Alligator mississippiensis: one gene and its partners. The protein of the gene in region 3 interacts with the protein of the main gene of each other region in a pairwise test. Links are inferred from orthologs where the notes say so. Each region holds a gene or a part of one and is shown on either strand. Other genes may lie near its edges. The genes, in order: KIFC3, TXLNA, TFIP11 and ZGPAT.

Region 1 (6,952 bases), about 37 Mb from region 3:
GACAATTAATACACCAGCCAGCAGAGGAAAACTTGTAAGTGAGAGGAACAAAACCTGCACTTCGGAACCAGTTTCTGGAAAATAAATAAATAAAACGTTCAGAACTAAATGCAAAACTCTCTCTTTGATTTAGATTTTCCTTGATCAGTTCATCTCCATCATGAATACACAACCCCCTACCATCAATTAATCAAAGTAATTTATTTTGTAATTGGGAAAGTAACAGAGAGAGACTCTTGTTACAGTTTTGGTTTTTAAATACTGTAATTGAAAAGCACTCAAGAGACTAAAGGTGACAAAAGCTGTAAGGGCAGAGACAGATGGATAATTTCTGCTAAATCACTTCATCTCTCACTATGTTTCTTTAACTGTCTGTATATAGGAACAATGATATTTCATACAGTGAAAAAGAACTAATGTTTTCAAAAGAACTTGTGGATCGTAGGATGACTAGTGATGTGTATATGCAAATAGTATGCCTTATTATTTCAGCACCAAGCAGGACATAGCCAGATTTTAATCACACACAACATCCACTCTCCACCTTTCTGTTCCTCAATACCCACCATCCTGTCCACCTAATACCAAAGGAATGCAGAAAGGTCAGTGAGGAAATGAGAAAAAATGCATTTTCAACCCCTCCACCCCCGCAACTGCCCTGCCTCTCAAACATATTTTTATGGTCGGCAAGAGTTAAAACAACCTTTCTATATCAAAGCAGGTACAACTGTCAGATAAGCTACTGCCAAAGCTTAAGAACTTAAAATATCAGAGCAAACAGTAAGTTTCCCATCAAAAATATCTCTTCCAGAAGCCTGGCATTAGCATTTAGCCCCACAGTGACCCTGAAGTCCGAGACTAGCATGAGACAACAGCGCTAGCTGTGTGGAACCCCAGACAAGCAGCGGCAGGTTTCAACAAGCAGCTTTCAGTTCTTTCAGCTGCTTTTTGAAAACATTTCAGTCCCTGTGGAACACCACACAAAAACTAAACTTACCTATTTGGTTTATATGCGGTTGGGAGACAACACACCCTTCCAAGGAGCCGAGATGAAGGACGACCAGAAGCCACGTGTTTTTTTGTTGTACAAATCACAGATAATCATTTCTTTCACGTGTTAAAATTTAACTTTTCTCCCAAGGCTTCTCATTAGAAGAGAGGGCAGCACCCTCAGCACAGCAGCACCTTTATCAGCTGAATCCTGTTGTTACCTAACAGCCTACATTTGTATGGGAATCAGTTTCCCCAAATCTTAGTTTCATCTCTGACATCTGAAAAACAATGTCAGAAATGTGGACTCACTGGTTTTCAAGTCTCTCCTTGCCAGAGTGTGAGAAAGGGCAGGAGCAGGAGTGGGCCGGGCATGGAAGGAGGATGAGCCATTGCATGATACTCACCGTCTAGAGGGAGGTCCTTTTTCCACAGGTCTCTCTCTGAGAGATTGAGTCTCCAATCCCAGGTCTCGCAAGATGTAATCATGGCATAGGGTTCCCAAGCAGACCGGCACCTCAGGGCCTGGGAATCAGTGCAAAGAAAGGTTTGGGGTCAGTACTGGATCAAATACCAGCTGAAGAAAGGTAACAGTCCAAGGTGAAATACTCCAGCAGGTTATGCAAACAGCAGTGCCGCAAACTCAACCCTAACCCCAAACCATCTTGCAACTATCCAGATTTAATGCTAGGGATTTATTACAAGAAATACTGAAAAACAGATTTTACACACACTGTGCTCATCATTCACCCAGTAATTCCTCTCTTATTTCCAGCTTCTTTCACTACTAAAATTTGGTTTAATAACTTCTTAGATCATGAGTTATTCAGGGCAGAGATCATCCACTGCCCCTGGGTTGGGGAGGGAGCGTGTTCCTATGACAAGATGAACCAGCAGCCTTCCTACGAATCTGCGCATCACCAAGCACAAGGACCAAGAAACAAACATCAGGCTTTTACCAGCTCTGCTCTCTACCACACTATGCTGTGATCCTGGCAGAGGCCTTCAAGAGTTATCACAATACAAATAAATCAACTGAAAATATGCAGTTGTAATTCAGAGAGAGCATCTTGCACTGGTTTCCTCTTCAGCAGAATACCCTCTAATTTACATGCTTGCAATTTAAATCTCATTTGATGCTGGTGATCTGACTTGGTGCTGGCCTTATGTGTCTTTAATCAGAGCATTATCAGGCCAGGCTACAGAACGAACACTACAGAGGTTGGAAGAAGGCAGGGGAGTCAGCGAGAGAGAAGTCTTATCCACGAAGAGGTGCAGCTGCCCTTAGATGCTCAGACCTCTTTAGCCCCCAGTCTCGCTCAGCCGGGGAAGGACTGCTTCACCCACTGCACAGCCCTTTTTAAATTCTCTGGTTGATGATGAAGGACTGGCAGGGTTTACTCGTATCCGGCCTCAGTGGGATGGCTCAGGATCAATGCACACTGCCAGCATGCCCACCTGTGTCCTGTGCAGCTTGCCCACTGGGTCCCCTGTGGAGAAAGCACCCGGGAACCAGCCCTGGACACCTAGTGCCCCCAGCCCCTGCCTGGAGGCTTTGTTCTGCCTCTAAACCCAAACGCTGGGTGGAAGGAGGGACCCGGCCCTGAAGATGAACCCGCCAAACAGAACAGCTACAGAAACAGGCCTGGGGCTTGGCAAGGGGGGGGCGGCATGAAGGGCATCAGATGAAAGAAGGGGTCACCGCAGCCCTGCGCTCTGCTCCAGGCCTCCCAAACTAGCGGAGACCAAGCCAGGCTGGCGGGTACCTAGGCACTGCCACACCTCCCGGGCAGGGGCAGCGCAGTGGCTATGAGGAGAACTGTCCGGGCGGGGAACGCCCCTGCTACCGCCCCGCCCCGTCCCGTCCCGCACCGCACCGCACCGCACCGCACCGACCTGTGCCCGCGGGGCCGGGCCGGAGAGCAGGGCGGCGGCCGCGATCCCGCCGCCGCGGCTGGGGCGGGAGGCGGCGGCTGATGCCGCGCGGGTCGCCCGGCCGTAGCCGCCCCCTTCTCCCGCTGTCAGCGCCGCGCCGAGCCGGGCGGGGCGGGGCGGGACGGCTCCCCCCACGGACACTTTTCCACAGGAAACGACTGACTCCAGTCGCTGCCGGTTGCTATGGCGACCCGCTTCTCGCAGCGCAGCCACCGCTCGGCCGCACCGCACCGCACCGCACCGCACCCCCGGGCGGACTGGGCCGGGCCGGGCCGGGCCGGGGCCACTGCCGGTCCCGTGTCCCTGGGCGTTGGCGGCCACCGCGGCACGCGCCCTCCTGCCTCCGCTGTGCTGTGCCCCGGCCGCAGCCGCACGTGCTGAGAGGCTCTAATAATGCACCAGTGTTACTTGAAAGACCCCCCGCGCAATACCCTCGCCCGCGGGTGCCCCGAGACCCCTTCAGAGGCGCCCCGCGCTGCGAGGGGGGCAAAGGCGAGGCACAAGGGGAACACAGAGGTCTCAAAAAGGAAGCCACGCTCAGTGCTAAAAAACAAAAGCCCAGCGCTAGGGCCCTTGGGTCTGCAGCGGAAACATGGCTGCCTTCAGCCTTGCTCTTCCCTAGCCGAAGACCGAGTGAAAACTGAAGAGCGGCCTCCCGGAGGCAGCTTCGAGCTCCTTCTGTTCCTGCAGCTCGACACCCAAGGCAGAGAGCTGTTACTAAATGCTTTACCTCTCAAAGAAAGATTGTCTGTGGGAGTATCCTTATTGTTTTTTTATTATTTTAAAATACTCCTTGTCATCAGCTCAGAGGACCCCCACAGGTCCCTGCCAACCCTATGCGTCTGGGGGTCTAGGAGGGTGCTGCACTGGTGCAGTTGCAACTCCCCCCCCTCCCTTGATTCCTGCTAAACCCAGAGTTTAAAACCAGCTGCCTGGCAGTGGCAGCAGCATTTCTAGTCGCCTGGTGCTGAGGGAGCCAGTTGACTTCCTGGCTCATTATCTACCTGATCCCTTCTCAGCCCAGTGTTAACCACCCTCTCTTTTTAATTGTCTTGATGTTCCACCCATCAAGCCATCCTTTTATTCCCTTGTCTGTTAGCTGCTCCATATAAGGAAGCCCCTTTTCCACAGCACTGCAGATGGTTCTGGGCTCCTTCCAATGAAGTTGTGTGTTTTTTGTTCATTCTTAAACTAAATAACATAGCCCTAGGGGCCTTCAGCATATTAGTAGAGCTTCCTGTATATTTTTACCTGGAAGAAAATGTGTGTTGTTTTATATGTTATGGTGAATGTCACCATCTCTGCCTCGCTTTCCAAAATTCTAGATCTGCCCATGGGTTCTATGGTTCCAGTGTGCGGCAGCCAGGGTAGGCTACTCTGCATTTGATTATCATTTTGCTTTATACAGGTAGCCAGAAAACCCCATTGCCTGTCACTAAGTGCCTCTCTGATGCACATTCCAAAAGTCAAATCTGCTGAAGTCAACAGCTCCCAGCAAAACTCAACCTGCAGAGCTCCCGCGAAACTATGTATTTCCCCACAAGTCTTATTCCTTTCACTCTCTTTATTCCCCAAGAGAGCAAAAAACCAACAAAACAAACAGGTATGCCTTACTCCCTGTCAACTGTTTTACTTACTCAGGATAGCCATGCATGGTAGGGTGGGTATTTGACGGATCAAATAAAGTTCAGTCAACTGACCAGTCAAATATCAGTCAAAAATTGTAAAAAAAATTGCTAATAGGTCCAAATAACACACAGAAATGCACAAATTTTCCATTAAGAAATGTGTAAAAAAAGATCCAATTGTAAAAAATCATATTTCTGTCAAAAAAGCTACAAAAGTGTGGGGGGGGGATGTAAAATTGCTATAATCTTTGATGGGTCAAAAATATGTAGTCAGTTGACTGGTCAGTTGACAATGTTTAATCAGTCAAATGACCATCTTGCCAACCCTAGTCCAAGCATCTGAATTTTTCACAATCTCAAATTAGTAAGTAAAACAGATGAGGGATTTTTAACACAGTATACTTTTTACTTGACAATGACCCAATACATTGCAATACTTTGCACATCGATGGCACCTTAGATCTGAGAATCTCAAGGCATTTTGCCAACCTTAAGCAAGACCAAATACCTATTTTATAGATTCAGATGGGGAAGCAAATGCAAAAGAAAGGGGAATAGTGATGCATGTGTCATCACATGTTTATAGCAGAGTTGAAAGTAAAATCCAAAGAGCCTATTCCCAGTCCTATACTTTAACCACATACTAGTCCTTCCCTTTTCCACAAATTGCAGGAGTAATAAATTACTAGTTCTACATTTGCTTGTAGAGGGGCAAAAAGTGACTTTAAAATAACATTCATGTAGTTTCTTCCTACAATTACAACATAAGTAATGCATTGCAGGTGGCTTAGAAAAAAATCCCTGGAACTAGTAATTTACTAAAGGCAGGTCTACTTTTAGCTAACTTTGCCAGTATAACTATCCTGCTTTGCTGGGATAGTATATCTGACACAGCTTATACTCATAGGCAATGTGTAGGGGGAACACGAGGAAGCATATGCAACCCCTAAGATTGGCCCTCACTGACTGGGGAGTGGGGGCGCCAAGAAACGCACCAGCTGGTGTCCCCCCCAAGATTGGGAGATTGGTGCCAGCCGGGGAGTTGGGGCACTGAGAAAAGTGCCAGCAACACTTCCAGTTTTGCCACCAGTGATCAGCTTGCTGGTGCCCCTACCAAACTCAGGAGGCACCAGTCACCCATGTGCAAAACCATGCTTTTTGATGGCTTAGTTTATAGCTCCTTACCCTTCCAGAAAGAGAAATAAGCTGTTGGTAAAATCCAGTTTTACCAGTATAACTGCATCTACACTTGCCCTTGTAGTGTGGCAATTTGGTCACAAATCAGATCTCATCAGACTCCTGACCAACATAGCAAAAGTTTATAGCATAAATCTGACCTTAGAGCAGGGGTGGGCAATTATTTTGGACAGAGGGCCTCTTACTGAGTTTTAGCAAGCCATCGCGGGCCACATGACAGGCAACCCAGGGCAGATAAATATTAATTTTCTAAATTTTTTAGGGGCCCTGTGGGCCGGATAGAATGGCTTGGTGGGCTGCATCCAGCCCTCGGGCCGCATTTTGCCCACCCCTGCCTTAGAGGAATGTGGTTCCCACCCTTCCTCTTCTCCCTTTTAACTTTTGCTGTTGAGAAGTACAATGGACACCAGTGGAAAAGGCACTGAGGAAAACGAAGAGAGAAAAGACATATAGCCATGTGCCCTGAAAGGGCAAAGAGAACATTTGTTCTTTTTTTGAACAACCAGGATAGATTTTCTCTCTGCTGCAGGGCAGAGCCAAGCTTACTTTTAGTTCCCTTGCTCAGTGGCTGCAAGAGCCAATGCAGCTCCTTGTATAGGGCAGCCCTGTATCATGTCCCTGCTGCATTGACCCCAGGGGAGTTTACAATAAAAGAGAACTGCTGCAATGTAGGTAATTCTTACTCCTGCCTTCCAGCCTCCTTCCTGCTTCTAGTCTACCACTCAACACTGTCCCTCACCTTCTAGGACTTTGGCATAGGACTGTGCAGAGCTGAGAAAGCTGGCTCCGTGCCTGGAGTCAGGAGCTCCTGTACCAGGCAAATTCCCTATGGGATCCACACACCTGCCCTGCAGCTGCTTTCAGTCAGCCATGATGAATCCAGCCTCAAAACCATACCCATCAGCAGAGCTGACCCAAGCAAGGTGCAGGGCCTGGGGCAAATCAGGCCATGTGGGGCCCTGCTCCCGCTCCGATCCCATGAGCCCCAGGCCCAAAGACACTGCCGGCATCAGCAGTTCAGGGTGGGGGATAGCGAGCAGGTGGGTGGGGAGCTGCCGCTCTGCCCAGCTCTGCAGGGCCCCCCAAAGCACAGGTCCTGGGGTGGTTGCCCTGATTTGCCCCCCCGAGACAGCCCTGCCCATCAGCATACAGTTGACCTGGTTCTCCTGTGCCTCATCATTGCTGTCTTTACCAGAATCAGC
Region 2 (7,430 bases), on a different chromosome or scaffold from region 3:
GCTTGTATGAAATGAGCCGATGGTTGGTTTAAAAAAAAAAAAAAAAAGGCACCAAGTAGCCCATCTCCCACTCTTCTTGCCTTCTCCCTGCAAGGCAGGATTAACCCTGATGAAAATTTGCTAGCGCCTGTCTTTTGCTGCTCCTTGACTAACTGGCAGGCTTGCTATTGTGTTCCAGCACCACTGTCTTTTCCTTTCTGGCATCCAGGCTTCCATCTCTGGTGGCCAATACAGATGTTATAAATGATGCATCTGTTGCCACCTGGCAATCTTTTCTTCTTCCAGCTAAACTTGGGAGAAGGGCATCACCTTTTTTGCTCTCTTGTGAATTGCAACTCTGGGTTTGGGGCTGGGGAACAGGCTTGGCTTTGAGAAAGCTGTTCCTTGCAGAGTGCAGGAGAACCTGACCTGCATAGCAACCTTTGTTGGTTCTTGGCATCACTTTAGGTGAGCCTTCCCCAGGCCCCAAGGTCCCTGTTTGGGGGTGTGCCATTTGATAGAGATATGTATATTTTTTTAACATTCACTTTTTTCCTGTGTTCAAACTACTTCAGTTTCATTTTCTTGGCTCACACAAGTGCCATGTGGATCTAGAAGAGGTGTTGAGGCTCAGCCATACATCTTATGGATCTGCTTTGAACAATCACTTTTATCAGTATTTCACTGCCATGCAATGGTGGCACTAGACTATGCTAACACATTCAGTTGACCTCAATGCTACTTGGGTGCTGTCAGCAACCTGAGCATCTTAAATCCTCTATTTCTACTGGCTTTTTTTATTTCAAATGTATATCCTCTGGGGCTGCTAGCCTGTAGTTGCTTGCTGGCACTTTCCAGGCTGTCTTGCCCCTACATAGACCATGATGCTCAATTCTGTAACTCTTTCAGGTAAATACATATGGTACCCAGTGGATGCTTGATATCAAGTCTGGCTTCATCATTCAGCTAGCAGAGGGACTTTTGACCACTGGGGCTGGTGAGGTTGTCTTTTTTTTCCTCCTGTTACCTAGAGGAAAAAGCTCTGTAACCCAGAGAGAAGGCTGTACGGGCATAGAAGATACTGGGGGTTGCTTGAGGATCCTTCCTCAAACTGATGCATTGTTTTTCCAACTAAGTGCTTTTGTTGTTGGCGCTCTAGTATTTAATACTTGACCATGGCAGAAAACAGACAATTGCACCTCCTTGAAGCGTTTGATTAAAGCTTAATCTGTACAAACGATGCTGGGTCCCTTGCCTTGGTTTCCTGCCATGATCTCTTCTGCACGTGTCATAACTTGAAGGACTCTTGAGTTTTAGTTCTCAAATCCTGCCTCAGCCTCTCCTCTTCAACAGTTCCTCAGACAGCACAGCCTTTTTTCCCAGCAGTTGTTGGCTTTGCCTGACATTCTGGCAGTCCAGTCTGCATTCGTGAATGTTCGGGCCTTCTTTACAAGGGGTGGCAATGACCACTACAGCCACTGTGTTTTGAACTGAGTCCCAAAATGTGATGGGATTATAACACTATAGCTGTCAAACTTTGAAAGATATAGTGAGGCAAAGGTCTAGGCATAAGGACTAATCTGAATTTTGCCATTTGTCCTAGATTTAGACCAGTCTGGCTTTAATTTGATCCCATATTAACCTACGTTAGGGAAAGCCATGCTAGTATGGTGCACTTATCAACAAAATACTTCTCTTGATTGGTCTTCAAAGGAATTTGAGTTGGGAAATTGGAAGACTCAGTGCTGCTTGGTAGGAACCATTCTGCCCTTTGACTAATGCAGCAAGTGAAGGTTTTTCCTCCCTGAAGTTTTGTCAGCTTGTCTTGGGATGTACGTGCTGCAATCTTTCTGTCTGTTTGCTATTCTAGAAGCACAGCAGCCCGTGTGCAGTAATGCAAAGCAGTCCTAGCACTGAGCTTGCACTCTTGATGGCAGTCTCCTTCTGAAAATGTAATTGCATCTGGCTGTCATCTAAGTGATGAGTGGGGTGGCTGGGGTTAGAGGCTGCTGATTCATACGAGAGCAGTCCCTTTGGACTGACTCATGAAGAGCCATTTAAGTGCACAACATCCCAGACTACTTGCGTCTCCAACTGTGCATGTTGGAAACCACTAGAATTTAGCCTAGAGCTCTGAATAGCTTTCATCTTCTGGCCCTTTGTAAAGCTGAGTCATAATTAGTATCAAAGACTAGGTTTGGGTCTAAGATTTCTTTCTTTAGCACATGGAGTGGGGTGTTTCATTCCCTAGGTTTAGCACAGGGTTTCAGCTTGGATCCAGGAGGGTTCACATCACACCCCCCCTCTCCCCAATCCATTAAGATTTGACCCTTGTTCTTGTCCCATACAATACAGATCACTGTATTCAGAATATGCAGTTGCTGTTGGCAAAAGAGCTGGTGCAGTAACTTCAAGAGACCCTTCCCTGTGAAGCGGGCTGAGCCCTTTGTTGAAGGACAACCTGTAAGCGATAGTAGAACTTAGATGTGCAGTAATATTTGGGTTCTTGCTTTCCTCATTGTCTATGCAATTGGTGTGGGAATAAATGAAGGGTAACTCATCAACAGCATAGGGCCTTTCATCAACAGTCTGTTTTCCAGACCAATCTGGTGAAATATTTTTCTTTTTTCTTTTCTTTTCTTTTTTTTTTTTTTTTAAATAAGAATGGGACTTTTGCAAACAGTGCTGTGGCCGTTGGCAAACTGTGAATTGGGATTTTCTTTTGGGGGGGAGGGGGAGGGGTGGAAACCAGATCAGACCAGTAGCTACTGTAACACTGGCTAGAAAAAGATTCACTGAAGTGTGAATGGCGCTTTGGAAACCTTTTGTCTCCTGGATCCTTCACAGAAAAGAAGCTGGAGACTTGTCCTTTTTTTGTGTTTTTTTTTTTTTTTTTTTTTTTTTTTAAGAAGCAACCAGTTACAAACCCCATGAATGGTACTTATGTACTTATATTCTGTTACGTAAGTGCATGTCAGAGCATTAAACCACACATGGCCACACCCTGGAGTGGAGCTGGTGAGAGATTCTTTTTTTAAGTTTATTTTTCATTTACTAACCAGCTCATGTATGGGTTGCATTATAGAGCTGCGAGCACGTGTGGCAAAAGCAAGGGCAGTGGTAAGTTGTGGTTGCGGTACAGCGTTCAGACACCTGAATGCAGGACTTCCTGTAGCCACTGCAGTATCTTAAGGCTTTTTTTTTTTTTCTTCTTCTCCGAGTAAGGATTTTTTTTTATTTATTTATTTTTTTTAAATGAAGCCAAATACTATGGTTCTCTTCAGTGAGTCCCCCTTTAAAGCTACGGCATAGCTGTACCATGGTGGATTGAGAGGATGCCCACCCGACTCTAGAACAGACTAGCCGGCTTGATATGGAGTTGAAAGTGTGTTTCTCTTAGGTTTCCAACACTGTAACAGATGCAACATAAATAAAGAACCTGTTCCACAATCCCGGATACTGGGCGACTCTGGATTCTTTTATGAAACTTTGGGCATCGCCCCTGTGCCAGCGGGGGCCCGGGCTAAAGCCTGTCTATGTACACGGGGAACTTACCTGGGAATGGATTGGCAGAGGTGTGTGTGATTAATGTCCAAACAGAAGGGGTGAAACAGGCCTCGGCCTCTGCTTTCTTTAAACCTAAGCAGTAGCTGTACATGCCGGTCCTTCGTGCCAATAAACCGCAGTGTCCAGCTAGTGGGCTGCTCCCGCCGTCTCCGGCCCCACGGGGAAGGGATAAGTCCAATAACGCCGCCATCTTCAGACCCTCCCTTCCTTCCCCCAGCCCAGCCAAGCTTCGACCCTATCCCGCCTCGCTGTAGCTATGCAGAGGGAACGCTGCATACGTTTTATTTAATTTATTGGATTTAATGGGAGCGGCTCCACAGCTTTCCTGCGCGGGCCCTGGGGCAGGTGTTCATGTGAGAGCAGGATCCTGTAGAAGCCAGCTCCCACCTGGGTCCACGTTAAGCACTGATGATGTGGCAGGTGGGCTCTGCAGAGCTGCTCGGTTGTTTTTGGTACTGTGAGCTGAGTGCACCCGTGCCTGGACTCCAGGCTTTGTGTGATGTATGTAACGTGTGCCAGGCTGGTGCCATGCAGGCCTAGAGCTTGTTCAACAGGCTCTGCCTGCCTCCAGCTGTTGCCCCTGGTTCCCTGCCACGGGCCACGTCCTCCTGCTTAGCTGAGAACAGGGAGCTGCCCCTGCCCCAGAAGCTGCAGTGTGGGCCCCGGGGCCTGCTGGGAGCTGTAGTGCCGCCCTGTTTCCGGGGCACGCCGGGAGCTGTAGTGTTGCCGTGCCGCGGAGAACGCCGGGAGCTGTAGTGCGGCGCTGCCGCGGGGCCCGCCGGGAGTTGTAGTCGCGTCCTCCCGCCTCAACTGCCGCCTCCAACCGGCGTTTCCCGGCAGGCGCCGCGCGGCTTCGCGCGCGGATTGGCTGGCGGCGGGGCCGGCGCATGCGCACTCCACACACGCTCCGCGGCCCGGGCCGGAGCCGCTTCTCCGTCAGCTACGAACCGCGCCTAGGAAGCGGGGCCGCCGGGCGGGGGACGAGCTGTGGCGGCCTAGGAAGGGAGCGGGGCCCCTCGCTCGCTGGTTGACCGAACCCGGAGAGCCACGTCACACCTCGGGCCGGTGACGTCACGGGGTGCGTGTGTGATGTCACCGCGGCGCGGGGCCCGCAGCCCTGCGCGGGGGGTTGGGGATTGCAGCCGTTGGTGGGGGAGGGGAGGGGAAGGGGGGGTGCAGCTGGTGGGGGAGGGCCCCGGTGGCACCCCTCCCCCCCCGGGGCCCTGCGACGCGGGCACTCGGCCACGCTGGGGGGGGGGCCGGGGTGTCCCTGCGGCCGCCCCGGGCCCGGGCAGGCTGGGCACGGCCGCCCGAGTCCCGGGCGCGAAGGCAGCGGGTGCTCCTCTCTCCACAGGGCGCGTCGACACGGCGGGGAGAAGAGCCGCGATGAAGAACCAGGGCGGGGAGACCAAAGCCGTGGCGGCCCCGGCGAGCCCCTCCAAAGCCGGCGGTAGCGGCCTGGCGCCCGCCGAGGACGACTCGCCGGAGGCTGCTCCGCCCGCCGACGCCGGGGACTCGGCAGGCCAGCCCGACGGCAGTGCCGAGAGCCCGGCCAGCGAGACGCGGGAGAAGATGGAGGGTGCGTTTCTGCTCGGGCGGGCGGGCGGGCGGGCATCGTAGCTAACTCCTGTTTCCCCGTGTCAGGGAGGGATTAGGGTCAGGTTTGTGCATCCTAGGACATCCCGGACTACTGGCTGCATGCCTGGGATACGGGGGGAGACGGAGTCTCGTCCGGCTGTTGAGTGATTTTACTGTTATTGAGTTACTTATTACTCAAAGCCCTGGGACCTTCTGCACAAAGCTCCCCGTCTGCTCCTCTGTCCAGTCGTGTGAGCTGCCCCCGCCCTGAGCCAGGGCATCTGCCCCTCTCTCGGCGCGGTAAAGGTTACCCCTCCGCCCGGGGAAGCCCTGTCGAGTCAGCTCAGTGCTCGGTTGAATCGAGGCCTGCCTCCTGCTCCGATGGCTAGCAAACGCGGGATCTGATGAGTCACGTTAACTTAATAGCTGAAGATCCATTTGCCAACGGCTGCCAGTCCTCAGGAGATCTGGTCTGAGCTGTGTTGATGTCCGCTGTCAAGGCAGCACGTAGCGGCTGTCTCTGACCTACGTCCGATCCCAGATCATTAGTATTATTAAAATGTCAGGCCGGGGGGCGTACATTACCAGGCTGTGCCTGCGAAGGAAAACCGCTGCTGCGCTTGTTTCCATCAAGCAAGTGGAAGTTTTGCCACCGACAGATTTTGGCAGCCTGGTCATGCCACCAAGATGAAAAGAGGGTGGTGCATCTCTGCGGTCAGGGCAGCTGCACAGTGATACAGATGTTCCCCGACGTCGGAACAAAGCGGCTGATGCAGCTGGAAGTGGAGCTGGCGCTGGGAAGGGCTGTTACGTGCTTAGGAAGCTCTTCCCCTTCTCTGCTTGTAGGGGGTTGGCAGAGGCATGCTTAGAGGATGGGGATTGTGAGGGTAGGTGTCACATGCTCGTTCTCTTCTCCCATCTCCCGCAGCTTCTGGACAGGAGGAAGCAAAGGGCTCCCAGCCTGCCATCTGTGATGTCTCTGAGGAGTTGAGCAGGCAACTGGAGGACATCCTCAACACGTACTGCGTGGATGCCAGCCAGGAGGGCCCCGGGGATGACGGGGGGCAGAACGAGCCTGCAGAGCCTGATGAGGCAGAGAAGTGCCGGAGCGAATCTCCACGCAACGGGGAGCAGGAGCCAGGCTGCCCAGAAATTAACGGGGAGAAGGAGGGCTCGAAGGGGCCCGAGGAGTTCCGGACCGGTGACGAGTGTGGGGAGCGGGACCAGAAACGGACCCAGGAGAAGAAGAAAGCCAAGGGGCTTGGTAGGGGCTCTGACCTCAGGGTCAGCCAGCCTGGGGGACGGGGCATTTCACCTCTGCTGGTTTAGCAGCTAAATCCAGGGGGACAGGGCTCCTACCCAGTCCCTGCATGATAGCATCCATGTCTGTGTACACATCCCCTATGGTGAAGCCACAGACCAGTGCTAAAAATTCTGTGTTCCCTTAGTACCAGGGTGGATGTGTACAGCAGCGTGCACACACAGAGTGAAGCTTGTCCCCCTGCTTTCTGTAGGTGCCTGCTCTATGCAATAAAAGGGTGCAGGTCAGATCCTGCCAAATAAAGACTGCCAATACTTCTTGCGCTTGATTATGCAAGTACAGTAAATTGCATTATGTATGTGTTGGCAATGAAGGATATTTCTGGACATCCGCCCAGACAGGGTTAGCATGTAGAGCGAGTGTTCAGTTGCCTGTCTAATTTGCACCTACGTGGCATGACTCTAACATGGAGTTGTACGTGAAATTGCCTGCTAAGCCTCTTTTCCCTGCCATGGTTGGGGAGGGGGTGGTTAGAGAGTAGGCATGGATGTGGGAGTCCAGGACGTCTGGAGTTCTTTGCCCAGCTGCCCATGTAACCTGGTGCAGGTAGCACACAGACCACTTGCCCTGCCTTCTCACTGGGTCTCTGCTGATCTCCCTCACTGTTATATGAGCACCTCAGCTCTAACATAATTATCCTCACTAATCCTGTATGGATGGAGAGTGAAGGCACAAAGACTTAGTGGCTTGCCGTGGGTTACCCAGGAAGTTGGTGGTGTCTCAGGGAGTTTAACCCAGGTTTATTGAGTCCATTGTCCAAGAAGACCACTTCAGCCACCGTCTTAGTCACCCAAGGCACAAATGTCTTCGGGAAACTTTTACTAGCTGCTTGCCTCAGGGCAGGGGTTCTGCTCAGGCTCCGCCTCTATGCCTTGGGACTGGGAGCTCTGTCTGAAATGGATTTTTGCTTTGTCCTGTGTTCCAGGCAAGGAGATCACACTGCTGATGCAGACACTGAACACACTGAGCACCCCGGAGGAGAAGC
Region 3 (7,342 bases):
GATGGAAACAAAATGCAGCCCCTTAATTTGTTATAACTTCAATCTCCTCTGCAAGAACACTCACAAAGGGGCAAACCTTGCAAGGGCCAGGAAGGCCCATCAACCCATCAAATGCACAAAAGTGAGGGGAAACTGCCTCCACAGCAGAGGATGAAATCACAGACCTGTGGGCAGCATGACAGCATCATTCTTTTTTTCATCTGCTGATTTAATATCCTAACACCTAGATGCTCCTGTGACGGGGGCTACACGAACATCTTTAACAGGGTTGCTCATTTTAAGAATAACTCACCGTTTTTAACTTCTTTGGTACAACCTCCTTGGGCAATTCTTCCTGCTTAATAGGTTTCTCATCATCCTCGTCCGAGTCATCTTCCACCTCCTCCTCTGCTGCAGGCTTTCGCAGCCCGGCGCTGATAAAATTGACAGGGGCTGAGTAGTCTCGAGATCTGTATAAGGAAATCACGTTAAAGAGGCATTTTTAGAACTGCGTGCGTCAGAGCTCTTCCACTGGGGCAGCAGCTGGAACACAGTCAGAGACACCCTCGCAAGCAGTTCCCTCTTAATGTTACGATATGGAGCTACAAAGCCGGTATTTGAAATGCAGGAAGTTTGAATTTATGAAGGAAAATCTGCGTTCTGAAAAGGACCTCGCATTTTTTGTTTTAGCAAACTTCAGCCTTGAAAAACAATCATCTCTATCCCAAACTCTACCTAGGCACTAAGCCAACTGCTGAGGGAAGTGAACACCATGTATGGACAACCCAGGTTATGTAGCTTTTGAAAAACCCTGTATGAGATTCCAATCCCTCCCTTCTCTTACACAAACCACAGCCAGCACGTCGTTTACCACCTCTACGTGCTTGAGAGAGCACCTTTCTGCACTACGCTCTAGGTGTCATGTTGCCAATGGCTCCCTGGTGGTGACACAAGACTTAAGTCGCAGAACCCCCGGGGCTGACGAGAGAACTCTCCCGCGGTTCCTTTCAGGCCAGCAGGGAGAGGATGGAGTTACTTTATTAAGGGAATTATTAACGGAACTGAAAGTATCATCATGTCTCTTTATAAATCCATGGTGCATGTTGAATGCTCTTTATAAGTCCATGCTGCACCTTGAATGCTGCGCCCAGTTCTGGTCCCCACACCACAAAAGGATGCAGAAAAACTAGAAAAGGTCCAGACACAGGCAGCAAGGATGTTGAGAGCTATGGAGGGGCTTCTGTGTAAGGAGATACTAAAGAGGCCAAGCCTGTTCAGTTTAGAAAGAGAAACCCTAAAGGGGAGCACAGGACAAGGGTTTACAACTAAATGCCAAAGTGAAAGCCAATAGGGATTCATAGAATCACAGAAGTCAGGTCGGAAGGGACCTTGTAGATCTTCGAGTCCGACCCCTGCCTGGGCAGGAGGGAAACTGGGCTTAAGTGACCCCAGCCAGGTAGGCATCGAGCTGCTTCTTAAAGCCCCCCAGGGTAGGAGCCAGCACCACTTCCCTTGGAAGTTGGTTCCAGATCCTAGCCACCCTGACTGTGAAGTAGTTCCTACGGATGTCTAATCTGAACCTACTCTCCAACAACTTGTGGCCGTTATTCCTTGTTATCCCGGGGGGGCGCTCGGGGAAACAAGGTCTCCCCCAAACTCTTCTGGTCCCCCCTAGGGAGTTTACAGACGGTCACCAGGTCCCCCCTCAGCCTTCTCTTGTGGAGGCTGAACAGGTTCAGGTCCCATAGCCTCTCATTGTAGGGCCTGCCCTGCTGTCCCCGGATCATGTGGGTGGCCTCCTCTGGACCCTCTCCATGCTGTCCACATCCCTCCTGACGTGCGGCGCCCAGAACTGGACGCAGTACTCCAGCTGCGGCCTGACCAGTGTCGCGCAGAGGGGGAGGGGGATTTATTATCTACTCTCTCTCACGATACAAAAGCTAGGGGTCACAAAATGAAACGAGTAGGCATTAAGTTTAGAAAGAACAAAACAAAATGTTTTCACCCAACATGTCACTGAAGCGTGGAACTTGTCGCCACCAGAAGCGAATTCAAAACGGGCTGGGGGACATTCCTGGAGGAAAGGGGCGTCAGTAGCTGTTGAATATGGGAGTGAGGGATACAACCCCTGAATCAGACCTTCCTAGACCTTAAATGCTGGCGGCTGCAGGGGGGAGAGGAACAGGGAGGGAAAAACCCCTGGTCCTCCCCTGTTCACTCTCCCGTTCAGCGTCTGCTGCCTGACAAGGCCCTGTTTGTTACGCCGTGGGGGACGTGCGGGCTTACACTCACAAGGAAACACTAGAAACCTCCCTTAAAAGCGGGGGCAACTGGAAACATAACCGACTTTGGGGGACAAATAAGCAGCAAGCAAGGAAAGGAGCGCGGTCACGAGCTAACAACGAGGGATCGGGAAGGGAACACCAAGCAGACCACGCCGGCCCCAAACGAGTCGAGCCCGTGGACGGCGGCCAGCGAAGATCTGCTCGGAGACGACGGCTCCGGTCACCCCGCGAGCAGCGAGGAGCCGCCCGTACCGCTTGCCGCCGAAGCTGGGCCGCTCGTCGTCGGAGTCGCGCTCGGCCCAGATGCCGTAGGTGGCCTCCTCCTTGGTCTGCCGGTGCCGCTGGCGGTTGGGGTTGAACTCGTTCTGCAGGTCCCAGTCCGTGATCTCGAAGCTCTCCATCTCCACCTCGCCCTCCTCATCCTGCCCGTACAGGTGCGACATGGACATGGCGGCCTGCCGGGGCGCGCCGGCATCAGAGCTGGTGGCGGGGGGGCCAGAGAGGCAGGTGCAGGCACCCCCACTCCTGCCCCCCCGACCCCTTTTCCTTCCCAGCCCTTCCCCCCACCCCATTCCCCCAGCCCCTCCCCCACTCACCTCTTCTCCCCCAAACCCGCCCCCCCCCCAGCACTCACCGCTCCCCGAACCAGGAAGCGGAGCTACAGCTTGTACCGGAAGCAGGAAGCGGCCGGATGTCCTTCCGGGGTCGCGAGCGCATGCGCCAGCGCCTGCCCGGAAGCCCGCGCCGCGGAGCATAGAGTGAGGGGGTGGGGCAGAGCGGCACGGCCGGCTGTCCGCCTCGGCGGACTTCTCTATGGTTGGGAGGGTGGGGTGGAGGCTGGGAGGTCTGCACCCCCCCCCCCACACACACACACACTTTTTCTCTCTAACTTCACACACACGTGCATTATGTATCTACACACACAGGTAAATGCACATATGTACACCCACCCGGTGTATGTATGCACGCACGATGTATACACTCACACATGAATTAAGCCTACACATGTATACACACTCATTATGAACACACGGACATGACGTGTACACACGCTGCATACATGCACACGCATGTACACACACACTATATGCATATGCACACTATGATTATGCATGCACACACACACCCCTATTGTGTACACACGCACATTATGCATATGCACATATTACATACATGCACACATGACATGCATGCACGCACACTATGATTACGTATGCACACACACATAAACATGTATCGCGTACACATACACATTACGCATGTACCCACACACACTATGCATATGCACACACACGTATCGGGGTGGGCAAAACACGGTCTGCCGGGCCCCTAAATATTGATTTTCTAAATTTTTTATCTTCCCTGGCTGCCTGTCGGTGCAGCCCTCGATGGCTTGCCAAGCCTCAGTAAGCAGCCCTCCGCCCAAAACGACTGCCCGCACACACACACGCACACAGCACAAGCTTTCAGCTGTAGCTCACTTCCCCAGCACTGTGAAGGGGGAGGGAGGGATTCCTCATGCCACCGTTTCTCATTCAAATCGGTATTTAAACACTTGCTGCTGGAGAACTGCACCCCTCGGGTCAGCGACGGCACATCCGCGGGGTTGAAGCACCTGCCCCAGGCTGGCAGGTCTGTCTGCCACCCATGTCAGAGCCCCCAGGCCCTCCCACGCACCCACGGGCCCCGCATCCTTCCCGTGTCCGCAGCCCTTCGTTCCAGCCCGCGAACGCCCTTCCTCGCATCATTAGCGCAAACGATGATGACACGCCCTTTCGTCTGGAAACAGTGTTTAATCACCGCAGGAAATGAACGGAGCGGAGCCAGGAATGAAACAGATGGCCTCATATATTAATTTTTAAATAGATTCTGTAAATTACAAGTGAAGGAACGACAGAAGGCAGGTCTCCGATTGTCACTTGTACGACCAATGCTCTACGAGGTTATCGACACCTATTCCCGGTTTGCAAACAGAAGAACAGAATGACGAGACAGTTTTAAATACAACTTTAAAAAGTCCTCAAGTAACCGAATGGGCGAATCTCTTTCCAACGCGCTCTGAAGTTCCAGCCAGGAAACTCGTCTCCCAGGATTTTCCTCTTTACCACAGAGCATTCAGAGAAGGTAGACAACTGGTATCCGATGTGTGTCATGTTTGGCCTTTGCAAATAAATGCAAATACATTCCTTGTGTAGCAGTCCTATTTTGGCAATATTAGCAAGCAATATGCTTGGATAACAGATTTCCACTTTTGCAACTGCAAACTGTCTTCTCTGCTGGACGCTGAAAGGCCACGTGCAGCCTCCTGAAACAGAAGAGACGCGAAGCGTTAGGGATGAGACGCTGAACATAGTGACCGCGGGGTCCACTCTTCAAACCCACAGCTACTTCAAGCACCTTGTTAGCGAGATCCAAGACCTGGACATCACCTCTCCCTACTTGGTGCTGACCCAAGCCCCATCAATCCCACATGCAAGACGTTTCTAATGTTGCTGAAGTCTCTGAAGGCTGCAGCATGCAGGTGCCCCCAGGGAAGAGATCTTAGTGCATGTTGCACACCGGGAGGAAGCACAATTACACCCGGAGCACAACCCCTTACCTGGAAATCATTAAGTCAGCGAGTGAGGCTCCGACGTGTTCTGAGGCACCTGGAACAACCCAAGACAGACGAGAGTTAGCTCGGCCCCAGACAGCCCCTCTGCACCGACAAAGCGAGACAACCAGGGGATGCCAGTGGTCCACGGGGCAGGAACCAGCACCGCACAGAGATCCCCGTGCCAGCTCGGGTCCTGACCACAGCACGGTCGTGTGGGCACAGCACAGGTTTTGGGACAGCAGGGTGGGGGGGATGAATGCAGACTCGCGAAGGCAAGCCCAGAGCTGCGAGCGAGGGCAGTGCTGGAGGGGTGGCAGCGGGGTTAGCATGCAGGCTGGGCACGGCAAAAGGATTCGGAGGGTTGGGAGGCTGCAATCCGCGTGGCAGAGGGGGAAGAGATGCAAGCAGGATTGACAAGGGGCTTCTCCTAGCAGCTGCCAGCATGGAGCTGCTGCCTGCACGGCGCGCGGCACACCCACCCACAGCGCTCTCGTTGCCGCCGGCTCTTACCTGCAGATGCCCTTTCAGATTAGCCGGCACTTTGAAATCTCCCTTCAGGACCTGCAAGAGAAGCAAAGCCGGAGTGACTCCCCGTGGCCTTGGGCTGGGGGCTACTCACCGCCCCTCTCTGCCTCGGTCACCACCCGGCTCATCCCTGGGCGCCCACGCCAGACACGAGCACCAGCAGTTTAACACGGGGCACCTGGAGTGCGTCCCCGAGGCCAACAGCTGGCGTGGTGGCAGGGCTAGTTCAGCCAAGATGCAGGGTTTGCCCCCAGCTGCCTGGATCCTGGCCAGCCGAGACCCCTTCTCCCCCCAGGGACTTAGGAAAGCGCATTAAAGTCTCAGCCTTTCACCTGGCTCTTGTTGTCTCCAGTCCTTCGTGGCCCCAAGCCCGACCGCAGCCCGCCCCACCCCGCGCAGGGGACCCCGCACTCACCCGGTGCGTGTTGTTGATCACCAGGGGGTCCGGGCTGCCGTAGTTGGGGGGGTTGGCGTAGGGGTCGTAGCCCAACCTGGCCAGCATGGGCGCGATGTGGGCCATGTCCTGCACCACGTCGCCTGGGATGTGCCCGATCCACTTGGACAGCGCCTCCAAGTTCACAGGCTTGATGACCTGGTCCGTGGACCTCTCGATCCTGGGGGAAAAGGTCAGGCACTCACTCACCGGGATGCTGGAGCGGGCTGGGGTCTGTGTCCTGCTAGACTAGTGGGCTCTGCATCCCCTGGGAGGACTTGCTCAAAAACAAGAGACCTGAAGCTTCACGAGAGGCCGTGACGGAGCTCAGGGACATGGATGCATCTCATGGGGGGCTGCCCTGCCCCAGCCCCTAGCCAGGCTTGCCCCGCAGGAGGGCTTTACTACAGACCGGCTACATGGCAGCGCAGCTACAGGCCTGGAGCTGGGCCAGCCCTGGGAGCAGGAGCCACACGTCCCACCCTGCTTGGTGGGACCTCCGATCCCTGCCTAGGGCCCATCGTTCGTGCAACCTTTCAGTGGTTTTCTGTCTCCACCCCGCAGGAGGGATTCAGCACCATGCCCATTGGGACTGAGGACACCACACCCTAAATATCTAACACGCCAAAAACGCTGCTTCAGGCATCACCAGCTTGAGTCGTGGCCCATGCAGCGCCGGGTGGGAGGACCCTGGTTGGGCTAAAAAATGCCAAGCTTGGAAGCACCCCTGCGCAGGCTTCGCTGGGAACAGGTGCAGCCCATGTTGGATGCCCAGAGCCAGAAGGGAACAGGCGCAGAGACCTCCCGGCCAGTCCCCACGGGCTACGGTCAGTGCTGGCTGGAGCAGGTGAGAACTAACAACCCGCAGCGGGAGGGAGCGTTCCAGCGGCTGCAGACAGCAGCTCTCTGGAGCACAGCGAGGGAGTGCACACGTATGCACACACGTGCGTGTGTGTGTGTATGCATGCACTCGGGTGCACAAGATGCTTTATTTCACAATCAGGGGATGATTGAGACGGGCTCCTCCCCTTCCCAGTTGGCTGCAGCCAGGTTGCAACAGCCAGGTCACGGCAGCCCCCTGCTAAGGGTGCAGGCATAACCTCATCTCTAGCTGCAGGGACTCACTTGGACAGGGAGACACCGCCAGGCTTCCCGATCAGGTCCTCGTGGTGCAGCATGGCATCGCTCCAGGCGATGCCCAGGAACTGCATGATGGCCTGCAGGGACTGCTCCGGGTGCAGCACCAGCTGCTCGTAGTAAACGGGCAGGCAGCGGGAGCGCCCGATCTCCTGGCACTGGGAGTACATGACCTCGATGGCCTTGTTCCACTTGGTCAGGCAGTCCCGGTAGCTGCTGAGGTCGAAGCCGGCGATGGTGACCTTGCGCGTGATCATGGAGTGCACGGAGGCCCGGCCGTCCCGCACCATCAGCAGGAACTTGGAGTTGGGGAAGAGGCGGGAGAGGTAGACGGAGGACTTGAGGGTGAAGGGGTCTTTGTTGCAGAGGTAGCGGGCCGGCTCGCCG
Region 4 (7,701 bases), on a different chromosome or scaffold from region 3:
TGCTTTTGCTATGCTGGGTTTCTAGTTAAAAAAAAGGAAAAAACGCCACTCACATCTATAGCCAGCTAAACCCAGATAGACTCAGCTGTTTATTCTTAGAATGAAGAATGGGTATGGGGCACTGCAGAAATGCTGTAAGTCAGGCAAAGTTAAAGGCATCCTCCAGTCCTCTGCTGCTGCTTCAAGATGAAAGAGAGTGAAGAAATGGCCCCACTTCGCATGTTAAAGCACTTCAGCCTAACATTCCCCTCAGCGAGCAGGCAAGAGGCCAAATTTTCTTGGCTGTGTTTAATTTGGTGCTCACTTAAAACAATAGCGAGTTGTTCCAAGTGTCTAACTTCCGTATTTGACCAGGTGCTTAGAATATTTGAACAACGCTGAATAGGGGGTAAGGGACACAAGGACAATTTACTGACCATCTAACTGATTCATTCTTTCCTTCTTCTATGCACATTTTCATTTCTATGCCTTTTTTTTTTTTTTTTTGCCTGCTGTTCCCCTTTTCTCCAGTCTTCCCTACTTTCCAGCTTTTGCTCCTTCACCTTTTTTACTTTAAAGCCCCTCCCTTACAGGCTCACAAGGCACTTTACAAATATTAGCGAATTAAGCAACACAACATCTCTTGCATCCCAAGTTTGTGGCACAGATGGGAGATGAATTTATTCATCTCAAAACTCCCAGGTCTGCACTTTACCCACATCCCTCCTTGGTTCTGTTTGATCACGAAGAGTTTAATCCTTCTATTTTAACTACAGGACCTCAGGTCACCTTCCAACCTGGCTAAAATATATTAAAACAAGACTCACCAGTGATTTTCGCAGCATACCATATTCCATCATTATGTTTAGCCAAACAGGCCGAACCCACCTCCATAGAACTGAGGTCAGGTTCTTCAAATGGACGAAGTTCTTCCACCAATACCACTTGCCCATGGGAAAACCTGCAAGAAAGAGAAGCGATGAGATCTGCCCTCATCTGAAAATAAGCCTAGACAAAGTTTCTTCCTTCAAAGGGGCATGGGCATTGCTAAATCCACACCAGAAATTATAAAAAGGTGCATCCCCCCAAATGGTTTCAATATCATAAAATAAATGTTGTAGTCCATTTCGGAAGTGGCTGCATCTCACTGGTCATCAACAATAACACCTGCAGCAACAGATGTGGCAAAACAGATCTTTCAGGACAAAATGCAGGAGCTACATACAAAATTACTGAGGTGTCCCGTTCCTCCCCCCCTCCCCCCCCAGTTTTGTCTTCCTCATTAGCAAGAATGTATTTAGCTGTCCATTATATTAGAATTAACCCCTTCCTTGCAGTTTTCACTTAAAGGAGTTTCCATTTTCTCCTTGGGTTAGAAGAAGAAGGAACGCTCTCATTGTTTGACATAGGATAGTAAAAGGACGACACTGTCAAACATAAAAAAACCGTTTGGCAAAGTTGGGGCAGATTTCAAAAGCCAAATAAGATAAAGTGTTTAAATCAGAGATTACCCCCTTAGCTGACAGTGCCTTTAATTACCATCTAGCAACACAAAGGAAATCAGCTTCTTTACCGACAATTCTCTTTAAATCTGCATTTCCCGTCCAAGAAGAACGGACACGGCTTCAAGGACTTGTGAGTTGGATAGAGATACAGCACTCTGACTCCCGCGCTGCCATCTTCCAAATATTCTGTCCCCACAATCATAGCGTTGTGGTACTCCAGAGTGCCCCAGGAACTGTAATATGGGGCTTTAACCTTCATCCCACTCATTTCCTCCTCCTCCTCCTCCTCTTCCTCTCTCCCAAACTCTTCCTCTTCATCACTGTACTTCGATTCATTTTCCCCGTCAGCCTCTCCATCTTTCTTTGGAGAAACCTCATCCCGAGTACTCGAAGGCCTGTCCTTGCCACCAGCTTCAGCGATAGCTTCTTTAAAAGCAGCATATTCGTCATCATAGGAAGAACTGCCCGGGTTAGCGTCCTGCTTCAGGTGATCTGCTGGAGAGGCGGAGGGAGCAGCAGGGTCTAAAGTGGCGAATAGTTTGCTCTTTTTAACAGAGACCAGGCTGGATTCGGTCAATTCTATCAGCTGTTTTAAATCCTCCTGCAGCTGGATCAAGTCAGATTGTTGCGAGGGGTCCAGCCCTGCCCCTAAAGCCAGCTCGACCTGCTTCAGCTGGGCATTGTAGGTTTGAATCGCCGCTTCCAGACTCTCTTCATCCATCGCTGTCAAGTATAAAGCCGTCTCGCCGGGTCCCTTTTTGGGGGGGTGGGCGGGAAATCAGCACACGCTCAAGGACGACGACAGCGAATCTCTGTCCAGACTAGCCGTCGGTCTCCTCGGCCATCGCGCGTCGTCTTCCCTTCGGCGCGACCGGACGAATCACGCTGCAGGGAACGGAGATTTGAAAGCAGCGTTACCGCCAGGACGCCCGGGAAAGGTCCCCGCCGCGACCGATCCCGGGGCTCACGGCGGAGACCGCCACGACCGCGTCTCACACCGCCGACCTGGCAGAGCCGGCCCGCGCACACCCGTGCACGGGACGCCTTGTCGGCCGGCTCCGAGAATCCCACCGCGAGGAGACGCGCGGAGAAGACGGCAGCCCCCCTCGCGCACCCTTCCACCCCGCGGCCCGGCTGTTAGCCCCCAGGCTTTGCTCCCACGCCGCGTCCCCTCACCACCCGTTACTCCAGCAGGGTCGCATCCTGACCCGCTCCGTGCCCAGCCCAGCCTGCTGGGGGGGCACAAAGAAGCCATCCCCCCGCCCCACTCAGCATCCCCGCAAATGGGGCACCCAGCATCTGCCCCCCCACCCCACTGGGGCTGGTAACCATGGAGATCGTTGACCAACGGGGCTGGGGGAGGCTGGTAACCATGGAGATGGTGACTGCCCCCCCGCCCAGAACTGACCCCACGACACCGGCCTCACTCATTCCTCGCCGCCATGACACCCCCGCGGGACTTCCTCTCCTCCGCACCGCAGGTCAGACGTCACTTCCGCCCGCCATCTTGGCGGGGGAGGGCAGTCCTCCCGCCTCTCCTCCAATGGCGCCTGAGGTGAGGTGGGTGAGGAGGGGGAAGAAGAGCTGCGCGCGCGAAGCACGCCGGGAGTTGTAGTCCGCTCGCCTACCCGCTCCCGCTGTGCCCGCCGGGGCGCTTTCCGCGGGCGGACTACAGCTCCCAGCGCGCCCCGCGGGGAGGTTGTTGCTTCCCCTCCGGGGCTTCGCTGAGGTGAGGCGAGACTGGAGGGCCTGCTCTGAGGGGAGTCGGGGCCTCCCCCCCCCCCCCTCCCAGCGCATTCGCTGTCCCGGCTTCCAAGGGTCCAGCGGGGGGAGGCCGTGAGCAGCCGGCTTCTGTGCTCCGACGCCGGGAGCCTCGTAGCTGCGGGCGCCGCTTCTCGCTGGCGGCAGGTGCCTGGGCAAGGGGCGGGACATGAGGAGAAACTGCCCCACGAGGAGGGTGGGCAGCCCCGGGCGAGCGACCCAGAGGGGCGGGGGGCTCCGCGCCGGGGTTAGGCCTCAGCTCCGCACCATACCTGGAAATAAGGAAAAAAAACCACCAAAAAAATCTGGACCTTTTCACTCCATTATGACAAAAAGAAGCCCATCTCGGGCTCCGCGGTTACGATTCATACGGAGCGCGTGCGTTTGTGCAGAAATAACGATCGTTCGTCTTCAGGCGTCACAAAGACGCATTTTTGGGGGTCGTTTTTCTCAGCGTAACGGCACTGGGCGGACAATGGGGTTAAGACCCGGGTAGATGAAGCCGGGCCTGGGGCGATGCAGTCGGGGCTGGCCCGAAGCCCTCGTTGTCCACGACTTGCAGCCGGGCGCCGGCGGAGCCGCGCGCGGATCGCCTGCCGCGCCTTGATGCGCACGGCGAGAGGGACCCCGCAGCGGTTACCGGCGTTGGCGTGGCAACGGGCAGCCCAGGATGTGGAGGGGTTTGCGTACGCGTGGGACTGCTCCGCTGCTGTTCAGGCGGTCAAATACGTGGCAAGATTTTCAAACGATTCAGCACGGTGCGGGTGAAAAGCCGGCCGCTTTCGGGGTGCAGGCGAGAGCTGGTCGGCCCTCGGTCGTAGGTGCCAAATACATGAGAAGCGAGACTGCTTGAGCTCGCGTTGCTCAGTCTTGCTCCATCCCCTGCTCCAAGCAGGACCAGCCTCGTCCACATCGTCCCAGCCAACGCTTTGTCTCGCTTGGCCTTCAACCCAGCTCGCTCCCTTTGCTAAGAACGGGAATGAAAACCCTGTATGATTAACCAACAGCAGATAAAACCGTACGGCAGGATCTGACTTGTTGTTTTTTTATTGCAGGAGCAGGATGTATACGCTGCTGTCTGGACTTTATAAGTACATATTCCAGAGAGATGAATACTGCGTCTTGATCCTGGGGTTGGACAATGCTGGTAAAACGGTACGTGCTTTTCATTTCTCTCTCTGTCTAGATGGCACGTGCAGTTCCACTTTTTCCTCCCCTGCAAAGGTGGAGTACAGGCAAGTTTCTTCCTTGGTGTTACTTCAGTGATGTAACGTCAAGGATGGATTCCCCCCCCCCCCCCCCCCAATTTTAGTGCAGTAAGCCTTCAGACAGACTCACGCAGAGGCTTTGATAAGCACATAATCACCTGGGAACGCGTGTGGGGTTCTGTGGTATGACAGGGAAAACAAGGCAAGTATTATACAGGCCGTCCTCAACTTACAGCGTTTCTAGTTGCAACGAACCGCACTTACGTTTATAAATTGACACGCTGTTTCAACTTTCTGACGGTTTCGACTTTACAACACTTGATCTGATGCCAAGCCACGCCAGCAAACCAGTTTGCTGCGTCACCCACCCTCCTGGAGAACATCTGTCCAAACTTCCTTGGACACTTTCTTTAAGAAAGCAGACGAGACTCCAGAAAAACCTGCAGCCAGGACTGCTGAGAAGACTCCAGCCAAGAGCCCTTCAAAACGTCCAGCAAAGGCTCCTCAAAGTAGTCCTTCCAAATCAATAGGATTGTTATTTACAATATAAATACATCAATGTAGCTATATTACTCATCTATAATTGATCAAGTACAAAATTCTGGGGTATTTTTGGTGAAAATAGGGTATTGGGACTTGGTTTAGGAACGAATCCCCCATTTATAACATCGCTTCCTATGGGAAAATCGGTTCCGAGTTGCAACGTTTTGACTTAAGATGTGGTTTTCAGGAACCAGTTGTGTCGTAAGTCTAAGGACTGCCTGTATTCTAAGATTTCATGGAGAATCCTGATGGTTTCTAGTAGGGGGAAGGCAGATCTGGATAGAATCACCCTTACCAATAAAGTACGTGACAGTAACTAGTTTTTCTTTATCCTTTCAGACCTTCCTTGAGCAAACTAAAATCCGATTTAACAGGAACTACAAGGGGATGAGCTTATCCAAAATTACGACTACTGTAGGCTTAAACAGTAAGTGAATTGGTTTGGAGGCTCTTTTTCCCTTCCTGCAAAGTTGCATGAAATTGATCTTTTCTTGAAGTATTTAGGAAAAGGTTACACAGTGAAAATAGTGCGTGTTAACAGAGATACTTCCATCACCTCCCAGTTCTTCATGCATTCTTTTAAGAGCAGATGGCAAAAACTTGCTGAATCTGAAGGAACGAATGTCATGTTTTACCATACCTAAGCCAATTCAGTCCTACAGCTCCACTGAAATTAGTAGACCTGATTCAGATCTCATTTAAACTGGCATAGCTTCACTGACTGTTTTTATTTACTTTATAGAAAGGTGAAATTATACTAATGTTAGTTGTGGCTATCATGTTGAGAAATACCGATGAAATAGAGTGTCATTTTTTTTTCTAGATGAACTTTTCATTTGTCCTTTCATTTTGTGTGCATATGTTAAGCTGCTTTAGAGGATGATCAAAGTATTCATTGAATATTTTTGTTGCTTTCCCTCCTCTAGTTGGCACTATTGATGTGGGCAAAGTCCGGCTAATGTTCTGGGATCTTGGAGGGCAGGACGAGTTGCAGTCTCTCTGGGACAAGGTAGAGGAAGTAACTTTTATATTCCAGGGTTCTGTGTTTCTTTAGAGTTGCGGGGAAACGAGGTGACTCTACAGGGTTCTTGGTGAACCCTGATATATAGCACTGATCCCTGTGCAATTAATCTGTTTGAGAGATCAATAGCATTACTTAAGCCTTTCACAGCGCTTTACAACCCTAATTGATCAAGTCTCTCAGCCCTCAGGGGAGAGCAGGTAACAGAATTAGCATCTTTTTATAACAAATGGAGGAAACGGCCACCTGAGCCACTAGTACTGTTGGTTGTACTTGTCTGATAGTAAATGTATCCCTGCCTGCTCCACGCTGATATTTAACAAACAGCTTGATTAGCATGTATTGCCCTAGACTTTAAAAGCCACTGCATCCTGGCTGCGACTGTTAAAGATGGTGTCAGGGAGGTCACTGCTTAGGTTTCTTTTCTGACACTTTAAAGGAATTCCATGCATCTGTGTAGCCCAAGTGCGCAAATCAGAAAACAGCCAAGCAATTGAACGCCCCTGCCAGACTCTGGTTACAAGGGTCTTTGGCAATGGAATAATAAGGAGACTTACAGACTGAGATTGCTGCTGAATTCTAGTTATCAGGAAGAGCTAATAACGTATCTTACCTGTCTGGATAGAGCAGTGGTTCTCCACCCACAGGCCTCATGCGGCCCAATCAGCACACTGCTGCGGCCCATGTGACATCTTGTTAAATGGATACACAGGAAGTAAGTTGTGTGGGAGCAGTCCACGTGCCACATTGAAAGCTGCAAGCGTGGCCCACTATGGCAAATAGTGAATCATTGGGATAGAGGAACAGTTACCAACTCTGTCCACAGAGATCTGCGAAACTGTTCACAACATGCCTGACACTAGTGGTTTGATCTCAGTCAGACTTTTCCATGTGTATCAGAAACTTTACAGAATTCACGTAAAAAATAGGAAGAGAAGCAAACTGCTCTAAGCATTAGACGTTGACCTCTACTATGATTTCAGTACTATGCTGAATCCCATGGGGTCATCTATATTATCGATTCCACGGATGAGGAGAGACTGTCAGAATCTAAAAGAGCTTTTGGTGAGTATGTTTTCTGGGTTTTGTGTTTCTGTTACTGATGTTGGCTATGTATGTTATGGAATTTAACTATTATTTCAGTCAAGTTTGTTTCTGCAGCTCTGTTACCTGTATCACCATGCATCTGTACCTCCAGGCTCTAGCTTCAGGGTTGCCAGGGTCCACATGCCACACTGATCATGAGCCCTGGGCTACACATTGCGCAGGCAGCATGCTGCAGGGGCCATGCCCTATGTAGGTTTCCAGAACCCCTGCTGCTCAGATAGGGTTCCCCCTCCCTTCCCCACTGCGCAAGCAGCACGAGCCTGCTTTCCCTCCTCTCCTGGTACCACCATTGCTATTTGGGCAACCCCACCCCCATCACTGCCTCATGAGCTCACTCCCTTGCCACTACCAAGTGGCAGCACAATCTCCCCTACCCCATGCTGCATAGGCAACAAGCTTATAGGGCCTTTTGCCATGCTGCTGTCCTCCAAAGACCTGCTGTGTCAACAGAAATAATGGAGGGAGTGGTGGTCGAGTGGGAACCCACAGGCTGGATGAAGCTCGTGGGCTCCCAGTTGGCTAGCCCTGTCAATTCACCTTGTGTGCTGCATGTACTTGCTCAAGTATAAAGTTTGAA

Evidence for each region.
Region 1: the proteins of TFIP11 (region 3) and KIFC3 interact in binary tests that used the Homo sapiens proteins (3 or more experiments, as listed by UniProt). The link is inferred for Alligator mississippiensis from reciprocal best matches to the Homo sapiens genes TFIP11 and KIFC3.
Region 2: the proteins of TFIP11 (region 3) and TXLNA interact in binary tests that used the Homo sapiens proteins (3 or more experiments, as listed by UniProt). The two-hybrid records come from large-scale screens. The link is inferred for Alligator mississippiensis from reciprocal best matches to the Homo sapiens genes TFIP11 and TXLNA.
Region 4: the proteins of TFIP11 (region 3) and ZGPAT interact in binary tests that used the Homo sapiens proteins (3 or more experiments, as listed by UniProt). The two-hybrid records come from large-scale screens. The link is inferred for Alligator mississippiensis from reciprocal best matches to the Homo sapiens genes TFIP11 and ZGPAT.

Annotation. Positions count from the first base shown.
Region 1 is NC_081833.1:38,415,553-38,422,504, forward strand, and holds the start of KIFC3 (kinesin-like protein KIFC3), read right to left. Parts: upstream 3,003-6,952; 5' UTR 2,887-3,002; intron 1,516-2,886; 5' UTR 1,398-1,515; intron 1,319-1,397; exon of another isoform or gene 998-1,318; intron 1-997. UniProt on the Homo sapiens protein: Minus-end microtubule-dependent motor protein. Involved in apically targeted transport. Required for zonula adherens maintenance.
Region 2 is NC_081829.1:5,547,922-5,555,351, forward strand, and holds the start of TXLNA (alpha-taxilin), read left to right. Parts: upstream 1-4,430; 5' UTR 4,431-4,624; intron 4,625-4,900; 5' UTR 4,901-4,932; coding exon 4,933-5,125; intron 5,126-6,052; coding exon 6,053-6,388; intron 6,389-7,370; coding exon 7,371-7,430. UniProt on the Homo sapiens protein: May be involved in intracellular vesicle traffic and potentially in calcium-dependent exocytosis in neuroendocrine cells.
Region 3 is NC_081833.1:1,409,730-1,417,071, reverse strand, and holds the start of TFIP11 (tuftelin-interacting protein 11), read right to left. Parts: upstream 3,003-7,342; 5' UTR 2,899-3,002; intron 2,720-2,898; 5' UTR 2,714-2,719; coding exon 2,517-2,713; intron 450-2,516; coding exon 293-449; intron 1-292. Other genes in the region: TPST2 (protein-tyrosine sulfotransferase 2), read right to left, coding at 4,874-4,912, 5,371-5,421, 5,801-5,999, 6,944-7,342. UniProt on the Homo sapiens protein: Involved in pre-mRNA splicing, specifically in spliceosome disassembly during late-stage splicing events. Intron turnover seems to proceed through reactions in two lariat-intron associated complexes termed Intron Large (IL) and Intron Small (IS).
Region 4 is NC_081832.1:2,435,956-2,443,656, reverse strand, and holds the start of ZGPAT (zinc finger CCCH-type with G patch domain-containing protein), read right to left. Parts: upstream 3,001-7,701; 5' UTR 2,912-3,000; exon of another isoform or gene 2,893-2,911; intron 2,370-2,892; 5' UTR 2,206-2,369; coding exon 1,553-2,205; intron 941-1,552; coding exon 807-940; intron 1-806. Other genes in the region: ARFRP1 (ADP-ribosylation factor-related protein 1), read left to right, coding at 4,308-4,400, 5,336-5,423, 5,923-6,005, 7,001-7,082. UniProt on the Homo sapiens protein: Transcription repressor that specifically binds the 5'-GGAG[GA]A[GA]A-3' consensus sequence. Represses transcription by recruiting the chromatin multiprotein complex NuRD to target promoters.